2 linked regions of the Chlamydomonas reinhardtii genome follow. Each later gene encodes a partner of the first gene's protein in a complex. Links are inferred from orthologs where the notes say so. Each region holds a gene or a part of one and is shown on either strand. Other genes may lie near its edges.

Region 1 (5,990 bases):
GGGGCGGTGGTTCCCTGTGCCGAAGACGGTGCTTTCATTGCACTGTCCCCTTCTTGTAACCCGCATTCATACAAGGGGGTGTCAATTTTGAACAGCTGGAAAATGGGCTGAGCCCCTGAAGAAGCATGGGGACCGCGACTTATGCTCTGTCGCCGACGACGCACCAGCTCCGGGCTTGGGAGGGCAAGACACGCGTGTTGGTACTCCACACCATCCACACACACCGCAGGCTCCCTTGCCACAGAACCGAAGCACCACCTTGCTATCAACCGTTATGAATACCACCCGACGCCCCACGCTTATCGGGCTAGGCGCGGGGCCGGAGCGACCTCGGGGCGCCTCAGCACGCCTCAGCATTCAGGCGCGGCGACAGGAATGGCTCCGGAAGTCCCTGAGAACTCGCGCTATAGTTCCCCAAAATGCTTGCCGCCGACATAGTTTGCCTCAAAGATCCGCTAAAAGCGCGCGCGGGCGCCTTTCTATGCGAGGTCGCGGAAGTCAACTGTTGATGCTTGTGCGAAGGCACTTCTCGCTCCGCCGGAACTTTCCCTGTCGCCTATTTACATGCAATAGGCAATAGCGAACACTAATCCTTAGCAGTCGCTGTTTGTGCCAGTATGATACTTTTTGCCGTTAACGCAGCCAACACGCACGCAGCGGGCGCCACGGACAGGGGCGGTCCGGCCCCTGTGTTCTCGCTTCGCTCCGCGGGCTCAGCCCCACAACTGAAAGTACCAGCGTTATTTTCAGGCATGGGCTTCTGTTATTCTTACCCCCCCTGGCTCTTCGCGCATGTCAAGTCAATATAATGCGCGTCCCTGCCGCTGCTTTCTCACCGCCGCGCGGGTGCGGGCTGCTTGACCAGGGGGGGGGTAGGAAACAAAGTGCCAGACCCCATGCCCCGAAATCCCCCGGGACCCCCCTTGAGGGGACGACCGACCCCCCGACGGACAAAACCTTGTTGTTCAGGGGTTAAAACCCCTCCATTTTATACCAAAGTGGTGTCAATCGACTCCTCTTGACGAGCACTATCACTCCGTGCCATCAGCGGTCCTGTTCTGAGGCTTCGGTCACACGCAGGATCCTATCCATGGAATCCCCTCGACCCAGACCACCCCGCGCTCAACTCTCTGCCGCGTGACGAATGGACAATGTGCATCGGCAGCCTTGTTAGACGTGAACTCATGCGCACCAGCGCTTCAGAGCCCAGCTGTGTCAGTGCGCATGTGTTGAATGTGGAGACTTGTCCCGACAATCACAAGGCTCGCGGCTCATAAGGCATCGCTAGTCCGTGACATCCAACGCAAAGCTAGTCTGTGCGCAAAAGCGCAGTCGAAGGCACCACACGTCCACCCACAACAAGCCACACCAAGCGCGAGCCTAGCAGGCCGACGCAGCTGACGACAGCACCAAAGCGGGTCCCAAACGGCGCGCGCACGACTTTTCACTCCCAACCGCCAGTCTCAGCCGTGCTCCACCGTACCATGCTCCGCCGCACCTTCTCACACGCGTGCGCGCTCAACTACCACCTCCCACTCGCGCCGCGCGCCAACTACCACGCCACGCGCCGCCGCCCCTGTTCGTTAACAGTTGCGCGGAAGCCCGTTTGTGATCCCCGTGTGTCAGTTAAAGTGTTGGTAGTTGCAAGGATTGCCGCGCCGCACGCCGCACGTGCAAAGTACACGCATCCAGAACGGCTGGACGTGTGTGTGTGTGTGTGTGTGTGTGTGTGTGTGTGTGTGTGTGTGTGTGTGTGTTGAAAAGAAAACAACAAAACGAAGCCCGCCCGTGTGTGTGTGTGTGTGTGTGTGTGTGTGTGTGTGTGTGTGTGTGTGTGTATGTGTGTGCGTGTGTGTGCGTGCTCATATGGGTGCGATGGGACAGTGTTAAGGCAGGTTGGTGAAGTCCCGCCTGTAGGGTGCAGCTGATGCCCAGACCCCAGCAGATGGCAAACAGTTTGCTACGGTAGTGCATGAGCGCGCGGCTGGTCGAACGCCGGAGTTACTGTACCGACAAGTTGCTGGCTGGCGGGAAGTTTGCTGACGCGCATTCCTCACGCTCGGGCGCCCGGCCAGGCGATACCACCAAACAGACACGTGTGTGCTCCTAGGGGAAGGGCTGTTGGTTCCTCCACTCACCAGTCTCGTGAGAACTAAGACGCAAAGCCAGGGTGGGGCCCAGGCGCGACCAGGGGGACGCCCCGGTGAGGCAAGGGCTGGCAGCAGGAAGCAGGAATGACGAGAGGGCTGATGGAAGAGCGCGGGGGCGAGAACGTGACGACTGTGCATGGGCACTTTGCTTGCATGCACTTTCCCCGGACAAAATGTATCGACCGGTTGCTGCGGCCCTATGTATGCATTGTACGATTGACAAGACCGTGTAGTATTGGATAGTGTAGCCTCGTTCCTACAAAGGATCATTCCACAGGGCTTGAGCCAGGGCCAGGCTTTTACGCAACAAGTCTCAGCTTAGGCTACTTCTTGTGTCCTACTGTTTGCTGGCACCATGGCGCTGCTCGCGGCCAAGACGACGAGCCCTAGCGTGACGACTCGCCGCAGCGTCACCGGGCTGCCTTCTGTGTCGGGTTTCCGCGCGTCTCGGCCCACTCGCAAGCATGGCATTTACGTTCGCGCTATGGCAGCTGCAACCGCTGAGGAGGCCGAGGTGCGCAAGCTTGCGATTGCCGCGGAGCCTAGCACGTGCACTCGCCTTTGAGCGCTTCTGGCGGCCCTCGCATACTAGTTGGTACTTATCCGCACTCACTCGTGCGCATGATCTTCTGTGGACGGCCACTGAACACGAGGTTCTCCACACGCGACCCAACCCTAGTTTCAAGCGGGGCCCCTCGTCTTGTGCCGACACCCGCAGCTGAGGAAGCAGCTGACGAATCTGGACCGCGTGACCATTCTGTCGGAGGCGCTGCCCTACCTCCAAAAGTTCCGCGGCAAGACCGTCGTGGTCAAGTATGGCGGAGCGGCGATGAAGGACCCCACGCTCAAGGTGGGAGGCTGCGTATGCGTGTGGCGCTGCGCTAGAGGGAGTGGTCAAGCGGATGGGCCCATGCGTGTTGCCGGTTCTTAAAGCACCGTGCGCATGGAGAATGGTTCATGCAGAGGGAGCATGCAGTGCTACACTGACCATGTACAGTTGCAGCAGCAATGATTGCCCGTACTCGTCGAGTACTCGTCGAAGCGGGTGGCAGGCACCCAAGGAAAGCGCGACCTGCCCTGCCTTGCCCATGCGCCCCGTTTCAACCGTCCGGCCGCGTCGAGCGCCCTACCTGCACCCCACACGACACTGCGCACGACACAGTTCCTGGCCTGCTCTTACATAATATGCATGCGCTAATGTTTTGTGTTGTTTGTGTTGGTGCTATGCTGCCATCCGCTGCTCGTAACCTCAGGCGGGCGTGATTAGCGACCTGGTGCTGCTGTCGTGCGTGGGTATACGGTGCGTGCTGGTGCACGGCGGCGGCCCTGAAATCAACTCTTGGCTGGCCAAGGTCGGCATCGAGGCAGTGTTCAAGAACGGCCTGCGTGTTACCGATGGTGGGTGCGCCACACCGCAACGAGGGGCCACGGGGCTAGTAGCGCAGCTGCTGGAAAGGGCGGCATAATGTGGATGGAGATTCCTTTCGGTTCAACTTCAGGGCCTATATTTGTGTTTTGCGCTGGGTTAGCGGATGCATGGTGTGCCAGCGGCGTTACGGCTGCCGCGATGCAGTTACGCCTGGTTGGGGCAGGGCACTGGCGGGCTTCGTGTAGGGCGACTCAAGGCGGTGCGCAGCCTGCCTCGTTCGTTGGCTGCGAAGGGCAGGACAATGACGGAGAAATCCTAGTCGGCGGCCGCCGGATGACGTAACGAGACTGAAGAGCAAGACTCGAAACCGGGGATATGCGTCCGCGTGGCGTTACTTATCCCTTCCCCGCGCCCGACCCCGCAGCCGCGACCATGGAGATCGTGGAGATGGTGCTGGGCGGCCGCGTGAACAAGTCGCTGGTGTCGCTCATCCAACAGGCGGGCGGCAAGGCAGTGGGCCTCACCGGCAAGGACGGCCAGCTGCTGCGGGCGCGTCAGGTGCGGCGCGGAAATGTGTGGGCTGCGCAGCGGTATGGACCATGGAGTAGGTTGCGGCTGACGGGAATTTGTGACAGATGGATTTGAGGCCGCTTCGGCCGAACAGGCTCTGTTGGTGCCCAGTTCGCGCTCGTGCGGGCGCTAAGTGTCCACCAACATGCGGGATACTGAAAGGAATAGCGGATGGGAGAAATATGCAGGCTAGGCCGATTGCCTAGGCGATACACCTACTTCTGCTAAGGCCATGGCAAATGGTACGTCGGCCGCGTTCACCCAAGCGCTGGCAGCAGCACGCGGCCGGCCGCACGCAGCCGCCAAGCCGGCTGAGAGTGGATGGCGTCTCTCCGATACTTGGGCCGACGCCTTGGGCTGACCGGCTGTGCCTCACCCCCTGCCAGATGGTGGAGCTGGACATTGGGTACGTGGGCGAGGTGACCAAGGTGGACCCCACCATCCTCAACGTGCTGGTGGAGGACGAGTACATCCCCGTGGTTGCCACCATCGCCACCGACTACTCGGGGCAGGCGCTCAACATCAACGCCGACACCGCCGCCGGCGAGGTGGGTATGCGGCAGCAGCGCCGAGGCGCGCCGGGGCGAGGTGGGCGGAGCTTAAAAGGGTTCAGTTGCTGAGTTGTAAGCAATTGCGCTGGCGGGTGGGCCTGTTGACACGCCTGGGCCCCAGCTACGATACTAAGAAAGGGTTTGCTGGGCAACTGGTCTTTGCATATGGGCACGCCGGTGCATGTCTCATGCTTGTCGCCTGGGTGGCTGATGCTGCTATTTACGCTTGCGGACGCTTCTGGGCTGGCGCACACGCCATGTGGCCTCGCAGATTGCGGCGGCGCTGAAGGCTGAGAAGCTGGTGCTGATGACGGACGTGCCGGGCGTGCTGCGTGACAAGAACGACATCGGCACTAAGATCCAGGCGCTGGACATCCGCTCCTGCCGCGAGCTGATTCAGGACGGCGTCATTGCTGGTGGCATGATTCCCAAGGTGCGTATGCGTAGATGCGAGGACAGATGCAACTGCATGGTGCGGGACAGAGGGTCGCCAGTGGCATGGATTGCAAACGGACCAGTGGGCGGCCGCAGGGTGGCCGCAGGGCGTCGCGGCCTGCATACCATGGCCGGGGGGTTGCTTGGTCAGGCAGGTACACCCGAACTGCGGATGTTTACACCCAGAAGCAGTTACACAGACAGCAGCGCTTGTGAATGCCAGTCAACAAAGAAGGCTGCACAACGGGCCTTTCGTTGCACGACGTGTTGCAGAGGCTGGCACCCATGGTCGGGCCGGCCATGATACATCAGCACCTACAGCGCAACAAGCAACTTTGCCTTTTAAGAACCATACACTGTCTCGTCAGGGCAGTAACCAGCAGCTTGCGTGCCACGTCTGCAAGTGTGTGTGCACCACGAGCGACTGCCCCACAAGCGCAGTCTCTCATGCCGCACCACTAGGCTCACTGCCCCCCTAACGAAATGTTTTGTCAGTTCTGAATTGTCTTGCATTTGCCCTGTGTGTGCGCAGATTGAGTGCTGCATCCGCTGCCTGTCGCAAGGTGTCAAGGCCGCGCACATCATTGACGGCCGCGCCAGCCACTCCATTCTCATGGAGCTGCTGACGGACGAGGGCGTGGGCACCATGATCACCGGCTAGATTAGACATGTGCTAATTTGGTTGTGGGCGGCTTGGCACACCGAGACAATGGGAGGGTTGTCGGGGATCGGTGGTGGTGACACGTGAGCATGGGATTGCCGTGAAGCCTGGGCCCAGCACCCCTGGGGCAGAGCCTGCCGCGCGCCTGGAAGGGTCCAGCAAGGGCTGCCCTTTATGGCTCGTCTGTGCGGAGGACCAGGAGGCTAGGATGCCTTCAGTCGCATCGCTTGGGAGCGCCAGCCACGCGACGTCAG
Region 2 (5,990 bases), on another chromosome or scaffold:
CAGACACCATCACACGTGATTTCTTCCTTGTGCTGCAGCAAACGCGCCAGAAAGGCGAGGGTGTTTTCCCATGCACACTTCACCCCTGTTACTCAGCAAGCAGTACCTGTACGCATTACCTGCTCAGCACAACACTCCAATGAATGCGCCAGTACAAGAAGGGGCAGTCCGAGTCCCATGCGTCTCCTTTCTGCAGGGATAGTCCGAATCCTATCGTATGCGCCTACTGGTACACGTCAACATAAAGCGACATACACTATCACACGCCCCTCCAGGTTTCATCCTGCATATACTGCTGGCGGCGTGACATGCTCCACCCCACGCGACCACGTGGTAGCCTGCTGCACGTGTCCGACTGCCCCCCCCCTCCCGTGATCATCGCCCCGTCACCCGTGTCAGCCAGCCCCCTGCCGCCACCACACACGCACTGCTGCTTCTGCTTCTGCTGCCCTGCTGCTACTGCGGCAGCGACGCCTCGATGTGCTGCCGCAGCTTGTCGGTTGTCATGCGCGGCGGCCAGCGGGGCAGCCGGACCTGAGGCAGGTGGGCGGGGCGGGTGGGTGCGGGATGGGGTGGAGAGGGTTGAAGGGGGCAGCGTTTGCGTGCGCGTGCCCATGCAACCATCACGCAGCAGACAGGTCAGGTGCAAGAGCTACATTCACTCACGCACGTACCATCAACATCATGATACACGCTGCATGCCAGCGACAAGCCTAGAGTCATTTGGGGAGTCCATCCCCGCGTTCCGGACCGCCCTCTCCCCTAGGCATACCGCCAACCCCCATTCCTGCTCGTGTACCCAATCTGACCCACCTCTCTCCCGTCTGAGCCCGACGCCACCAACACCGGCACCTGCAGCGGCAAACACACACATGCACACGCGCATATGCATATATTCGAGCCCGGTTACAAGCGCAGTAGCGGCGCCTGTCGCAGCAGCGTCAGAGGCTGGGGCCATTACGGTACTCAGCTCCGGTGGCCACTGCGCTGACAAGCTCCTCAGGCAGGGAGCGGCGGCTGCACGCACACACCGGGTAAGGTGAACACGGGGCCGCACACACACACACACACACACACACACACACACATACACACACACACACACACACACACACACACACACACACACCTCCATCTCGTACACGGCCCAGGCGGGGTTGGTGGTGATGTCCCGTTCCTGAGGAGGAGGGGGGTAGGGGCGGACGGACGGGCGGAGGGGGTGGGGGCGAGGGCAGATGGGCAGGTGGGTGCCGGGATAACGCCACGTGCAACTGATCTGCAGCTGGTGCACAGGGCTGGGCGTCATCCCATGCCCTCGCGCTGGGTTAGTCAGCAGGACTGGTTGCGCAGCGCCACACCACGTGCCTCTGGCCCCACTGCCCCCCTGGCCTACAACTCGCTGTCGCCCCTCCCCCGCGCACATACTCGCCTAAACACACATGTTCACAATTACACACACACACACACACACACACACACACACACACACACACACACACACACACACACACACACACACACACACACACACACACACACACACACACACACCTCCAGGCGCCACTCGGCGATTGCGCTGGGCATGAATTGCGCGCGGTCGATAATGCCTTGCACCCGGTCCTGTGGGGGTGGCAGGTGGACGGCACTAGGCGCACGTGAGGAGGGAGGAAACACAGGGCAGGCTGGGTACTTTTGTACATGGGCGTGTGCCCGGAATTGGGTCTGGCCATGGGAGTTGCTTACGGAAAAGATAGGGGGCGCCAGGTGGCTTGTGGGGGCAGGGCACGCGTAGCGCTCACGATTGGGCCGCGAGCCACTGTTCCAGTGTGGGTGTTGGCCCCCGGAACCCCTACACGCGGCAGTACCAGCACGCAAAGCCGCTGCTCACCCTCGTCCCCTCGCAAAGTTCGCATCCTGGTTTCGTGTACATGGCGATGACCTTGCCGCCGCTCGCCGCAGCTTCGGCCACGACGCACGCGGTGAGCTGTCGGCGGCGAGCTGGCATGCTCAGACCCGGCAGGGCATGCGTCCGATTGTAGACGCATGCATTCCTGCTACTGGTGCATTGTCGAGACGCAAGCATAATAAGAGAGTTTTCCACGGAGACGGACCCGAGTTTGGTGCAAGCAAAGTCTGCGAGTAGTTCAGCGACCGACTATGGAATGATGTAGTGGAAGTTTGGTATCATTATAAGTGTATTTGTCGATCCAATTGGGGAATGGCGACACCACCCGAGTCGGCAAACAAGGGTTCTAGCATCACGTTTTCTCATTTACAGCAGGCAGAGCCACTCCCGTTTACACATAGTCACTGTTACTCACCAGTGTGTTTGTTGCATTTACAAAGTGCGCGAGCCCTCTGGCAAGCGAGCACGCCGCTGTGCGCAGACTGCACACTCGCGACGCTTTGACAGCAGCTGACTGTCCAGTGTCTAGATTAGTGTCATCTATTTGAGCTCATATATTACCGCGTTAATCGGACGAGCGACTGAACATGGCCCTTGCTTCGCGGACTTCCTCCGCTGCCGTCGTCGGCCGGTACGCCGCAGCCCCAACTGACTCTTAGACTCACATGCGGACCCCGAGCTGTTGTAAATGGGCTCGCGCACAAACGTGCCGCGGTGCACGATCACCAACGTGACGCCGAGTTTGGTGACGCTGCTGTGGCAATTGTAGGTCGACGCGGAGTGCAGCTGTTGTGCCTGTTCGGTCCATTGCTTCTCGCTGCCAAGCGGCGCGCCCGGCGCGGCGGGCGTCCGTCGCTGTCCGGGCTAGTAAGTGGGGTGGGTGGGCGGGGGCAACGTGCCGGGGGTTAGCGGAGATGCGGCGAACGGCCGCACTCTTACACGCTCAGCCAACACAGTCGGAGGGCCGATACTCTACACAAGAGGGGTAGCTGGCTACACCTGTCAGTGTAATGCTGCGAGGTCCATGCATGCTTCCGGACAAGCCAGCCAGCAACACACAGCTGCAGCGGATACCGTGTGCGGCACTTCCCGCCAAGGCACCACAGCCACGCATGCCCTTCATATCCCTCTCTTACTCATACACACTACTACATACAAGCTCCACACACGTACCCACCAACCATCACCCCCGCCCCTGCACCCCCCCTCCCAGGCGACGAGAACGGCTCGGTGTCGGTGCGGCGCGCCACGTACGCGGAGCTGGAGTCCATCCAGTGCGACCTCAGCGCCTTCCCCGGCGTCAAGTTCTTCCGCATCGAGGTGGGGGGAGGGGGGCGACTGTGTGTGTGTGTGTGTGTGTGTGTGTGTGTGTGTGTGTGTGTGTGTGTGTGTGTGTGTATTTGAAGGGGGCATGTGGGCTGTGCTGCTGCCGCTGGCTGGGTGCACTGACAGGGGGGGGGGGGGCAGGGCCAGCAGTGCCTCTGGAGGGCCAGCAGGGGGTTTGGCCTGCTGCTGATGCGGCGCAACCACCCAGCCAGCCACCCCAGCCCGGTGCCTCACACATGGCTGTTGGGGTGGTGCCTCCGCACAAGCCATATACCAGCTGTGTGGGCAGCTGTATAGGCAGCTGTGGGCAGCTGGCGGCACCTGCCGCGGCTGGCCCTCGCCACGGCATGCGGGGCTGTAGGCTCGGGCTATGGGGCATGGCTGAACCCCCCCCTCCCCCAACCGCCCCACCGCCCCACTGTCCCGCTGCCTGCTCAGGCCATCTTCCGGCCGTGGCGCCTGCCGTTCGTGATCGACACCCTGTCCAAGTACGGCATCCGCGGCCTCACCAACACGCCCGTCAAGGGCGTGGGCGTGCAGGTGGGGGACTGCCAGAGCTGAGCGGGGGGCTGCTGGGATGAGGGGAGCGGGCTGCGGGTCTCCGCAGTGGCAGGTGGCAGCGACACACTTGGGGCAATAGGGCAGTGGGGCAGTGGGGCTGGCCAAACCGCCTCCGTGTTTGCAGCGGTGCTGCTGCTCTTCCCTTCCGCCCCGGGTGTGTCGCCCGCTCACACACTAGCTCGCTCACTCTGTACCTTCCCCCTCAGGGCGGCTCCCGCGAGCGCTACGCGGGCACTGAGTTCGGTCCCTCCAACCTGGTGGACAAGGAGAAGCTGGACATCGTGGTCAGCAGGTGGGGGGCCGGCAGCAGGGGGGGAGGGAGGGGGCGGGGGGGCCTACGTATGATGAGAGCAGCAAGAGGAGGCAGCAAGCCCGGGAGGGGGGCTGGATGCAGGGGCGCATGCGGAGGCTGCTGCGCGGAGGCTGCTGCGCGCTGCCCGCCTCAACTGAAGGGGATGTCGTGAAGGCTGTGCAGCGGCCGCCGCAGCCCCTGCCCGTACCGGTACCACACCCCGCGCCCCAACACACAGCCCAACACGCCCTCACCTCCACATCCTTTCACACGCCCCATCTCCCGCCAAACACACACGCACGCGCACACACACGCACGCACACACGCACTGGTCTCCCCCCCCCCCGCACAGGGCCCAGGTGGACGCGGTGGTGCGGCTGGTGGCGGCCAGCGCCTACACGGGCGAGATCGGCGACGGCAAGATCTTCGTGCACCCCGTGGCGGAGGTGGTGCGCATGTGAGTGGCGGGGGCCGGGGGAGGGAGAGGAAGACAGGTACAGGGCGGGGATGGGGCAGGGGGCGGGCGGGGGCGGGCGGGGGCGGGCGGGGATGAGAGGCCAGAGCGGGGTGGTGACGCCCATGTCCTAGGCAAGCTGGCGCACCGAGGGGAGGGCTGGAGACGGGAATGCTGGCAGGCCCAAGCGGCCTGGTACCCAAGTACCCACCTTATTGGTGTGGGCGGAGCGAGGGCAGGAACAGGGACGGAGTGGGGGCGGGGCCAGGGTGGGCGAGTGCAGGTGTCGCGGTCAGGTGGGTGGTGGGGTGGGTGGTGGGGTGGGTGTGCACCAGGCGCTGTGAGAGCTGTGGCGGGGCCTGCAGTGCGGTCGGGGGGAGAGGAGCGGGGTGCGGGGCGGGACAGGGCCAAGGCACCCGCTGCCATCTGGCCACACACGCCGTCACCGGGCCAGACCCCGCGTCCTCGTCCCCTGCTCGACCCGCCACCCCCTTGCCTTCGCTTGTCCATTTCGCTGACTGCCGACACCCGCCACACCCGCCCTCCTCTCTGGTTGCTAATCCCTCGTTTCTGGCCCCCCTCTGTGTCTCCCCCTCGCCACAGCCGCACTGCCGAGACTGGGCTGGAAGCTGAGAAGATGGAGGGCGGCATGGAGGACATGATGAAGAAGAAGAAGTAGAGCGGGTGGAGGAGCTGCAGGCGGAGGCGGGGGGGGAGCTTGAGGGCGGGAGCAGTGGTGGAGGAGGAGTCCGGCTTGAGCTAGAGGTGGACTGGGGGACTGGGGGGCTGGGGGACTGGAGTGGGAGGCGCGTGCAGCATACTGCACGTGTTGGGGTGAAGGGGGATTGGCCGCAGGGTGCACGGGGCGGAGACTGTGGCGTGGGGTCACTGCGGCGGGTGCGGGCGGGACTCGAGCCGATGACTGCGCTGGAAGCGGCGAAGGTTGGGGCGGCAGGCAGAGCTGTGGCGGCCGTGCAGGGCGCTCGGGGCAGTGGTGGGCCGCTTTGAGGAGGCCGGCACGCGGCAGGCCAGGGGTGGGACCGGGTGCGTGTGGGCGCAAGCGCGCAGGCCGCTGGATCGATGGGCGTGCCGGGGCGGATCTTGCATCAGCAGCGTGGGCGTGTGCTGGAGATGGGCGTGTGTGCAGACCTCGTCAATCAGTGCTGTAAATACAGGACACCGGGTCTGCTACTGCGGCTACTGCGGCGTGGCGGAATGCACTGATGAGCTATAACTGTGAGTACCGCTGTACTGCTTGGGTTTGCGTAGATGATGTAGTGGGCAAGGCCAGTCCTCGCGCGTTGCGACTTTTAAGCTCGCGGTCTTAGTGCGGCAATGGCTACAACAGGCGGCCAGGTAGGGCCAAGTCAGCAGTCTCCGCCCAGTGCACGAATACCCTGTGCAGGAGGTCTTGCAGGTGCGAGCAGCACATCACTGCAGCCACTCCCACT

What was found.
Region 2: the proteins of CHLRE_01g015000v5 (region 1) and CHLRE_07g357350v5 are in contact, whole or in part, in a crystal structure (PDB 2RD5), measured with the Arabidopsis thaliana proteins. The link is inferred for Chlamydomonas reinhardtii from reciprocal best matches to the Arabidopsis thaliana genes NAGK and GLB1. Residues at the interface, in NP_191315.1 of Arabidopsis thaliana: Arg195, Glu208, Val209, Ala210, Arg211, Val212, Glu251, Ala254, Ala255, Ile286, Lys287, Lys290, Ile310, Arg311, Ala314, Gln315, Gly316, Gly347; in NP_192099.1 of Arabidopsis thaliana: Arg82, Trp84, Arg85, Gln88, Arg118, His119, Gly120, Gly121, Ser122, Glu123, Glu153, Thr157, Glu159.

Annotation. Positions count from the first base shown.
Region 1 is NC_057004.1:2,573,410-2,579,399, forward strand, and holds the start of CHLRE_01g015000v5 (uncharacterized protein), read left to right. Parts: upstream 1-2,363; 5' UTR 2,364-2,505; coding exon 2,506-2,664; intron 2,665-2,868; coding exon 2,869-3,000; intron 3,001-3,403; coding exon 3,404-3,548; intron 3,549-3,943; coding exon 3,944-4,077; intron 4,078-4,475; coding exon 4,476-4,637; intron 4,638-4,911; coding exon 4,912-5,073; intron 5,074-5,607; coding exon 5,608-5,736; 3' UTR 5,737-5,990. UniProt on the Arabidopsis thaliana protein: Involved in the arginine biosynthetic pathway via the intermediate compound ornithine.
Region 2 is NC_057010.1:6,338,129-6,344,118, forward strand, and holds the start of CHLRE_07g357350v5 (uncharacterized protein), read left to right. Parts: upstream 1-2,294; 5' UTR 2,295-2,493; coding exon 2,494-2,537; intron 2,538-2,675; coding exon 2,676-2,773; intron 2,774-3,119; coding exon 3,120-3,226; intron 3,227-3,670; coding exon 3,671-3,772; intron 3,773-3,999; coding exon 4,000-4,085; intron 4,086-4,437; coding exon 4,438-4,542; intron 4,543-5,142; coding exon 5,143-5,218; 3' UTR 5,219-5,990. Other genes in the region: CHLRE_07g357300v5 (uncharacterized protein), read right to left, coding at 457-534, 814-852, 1,130-1,177, 1,552-1,620, 1,889-2,083. UniProt on the Arabidopsis thaliana protein: Participates in sensing carbon and organic nitrogen status and regulates some steps of primary carbon and nitrogen metabolism.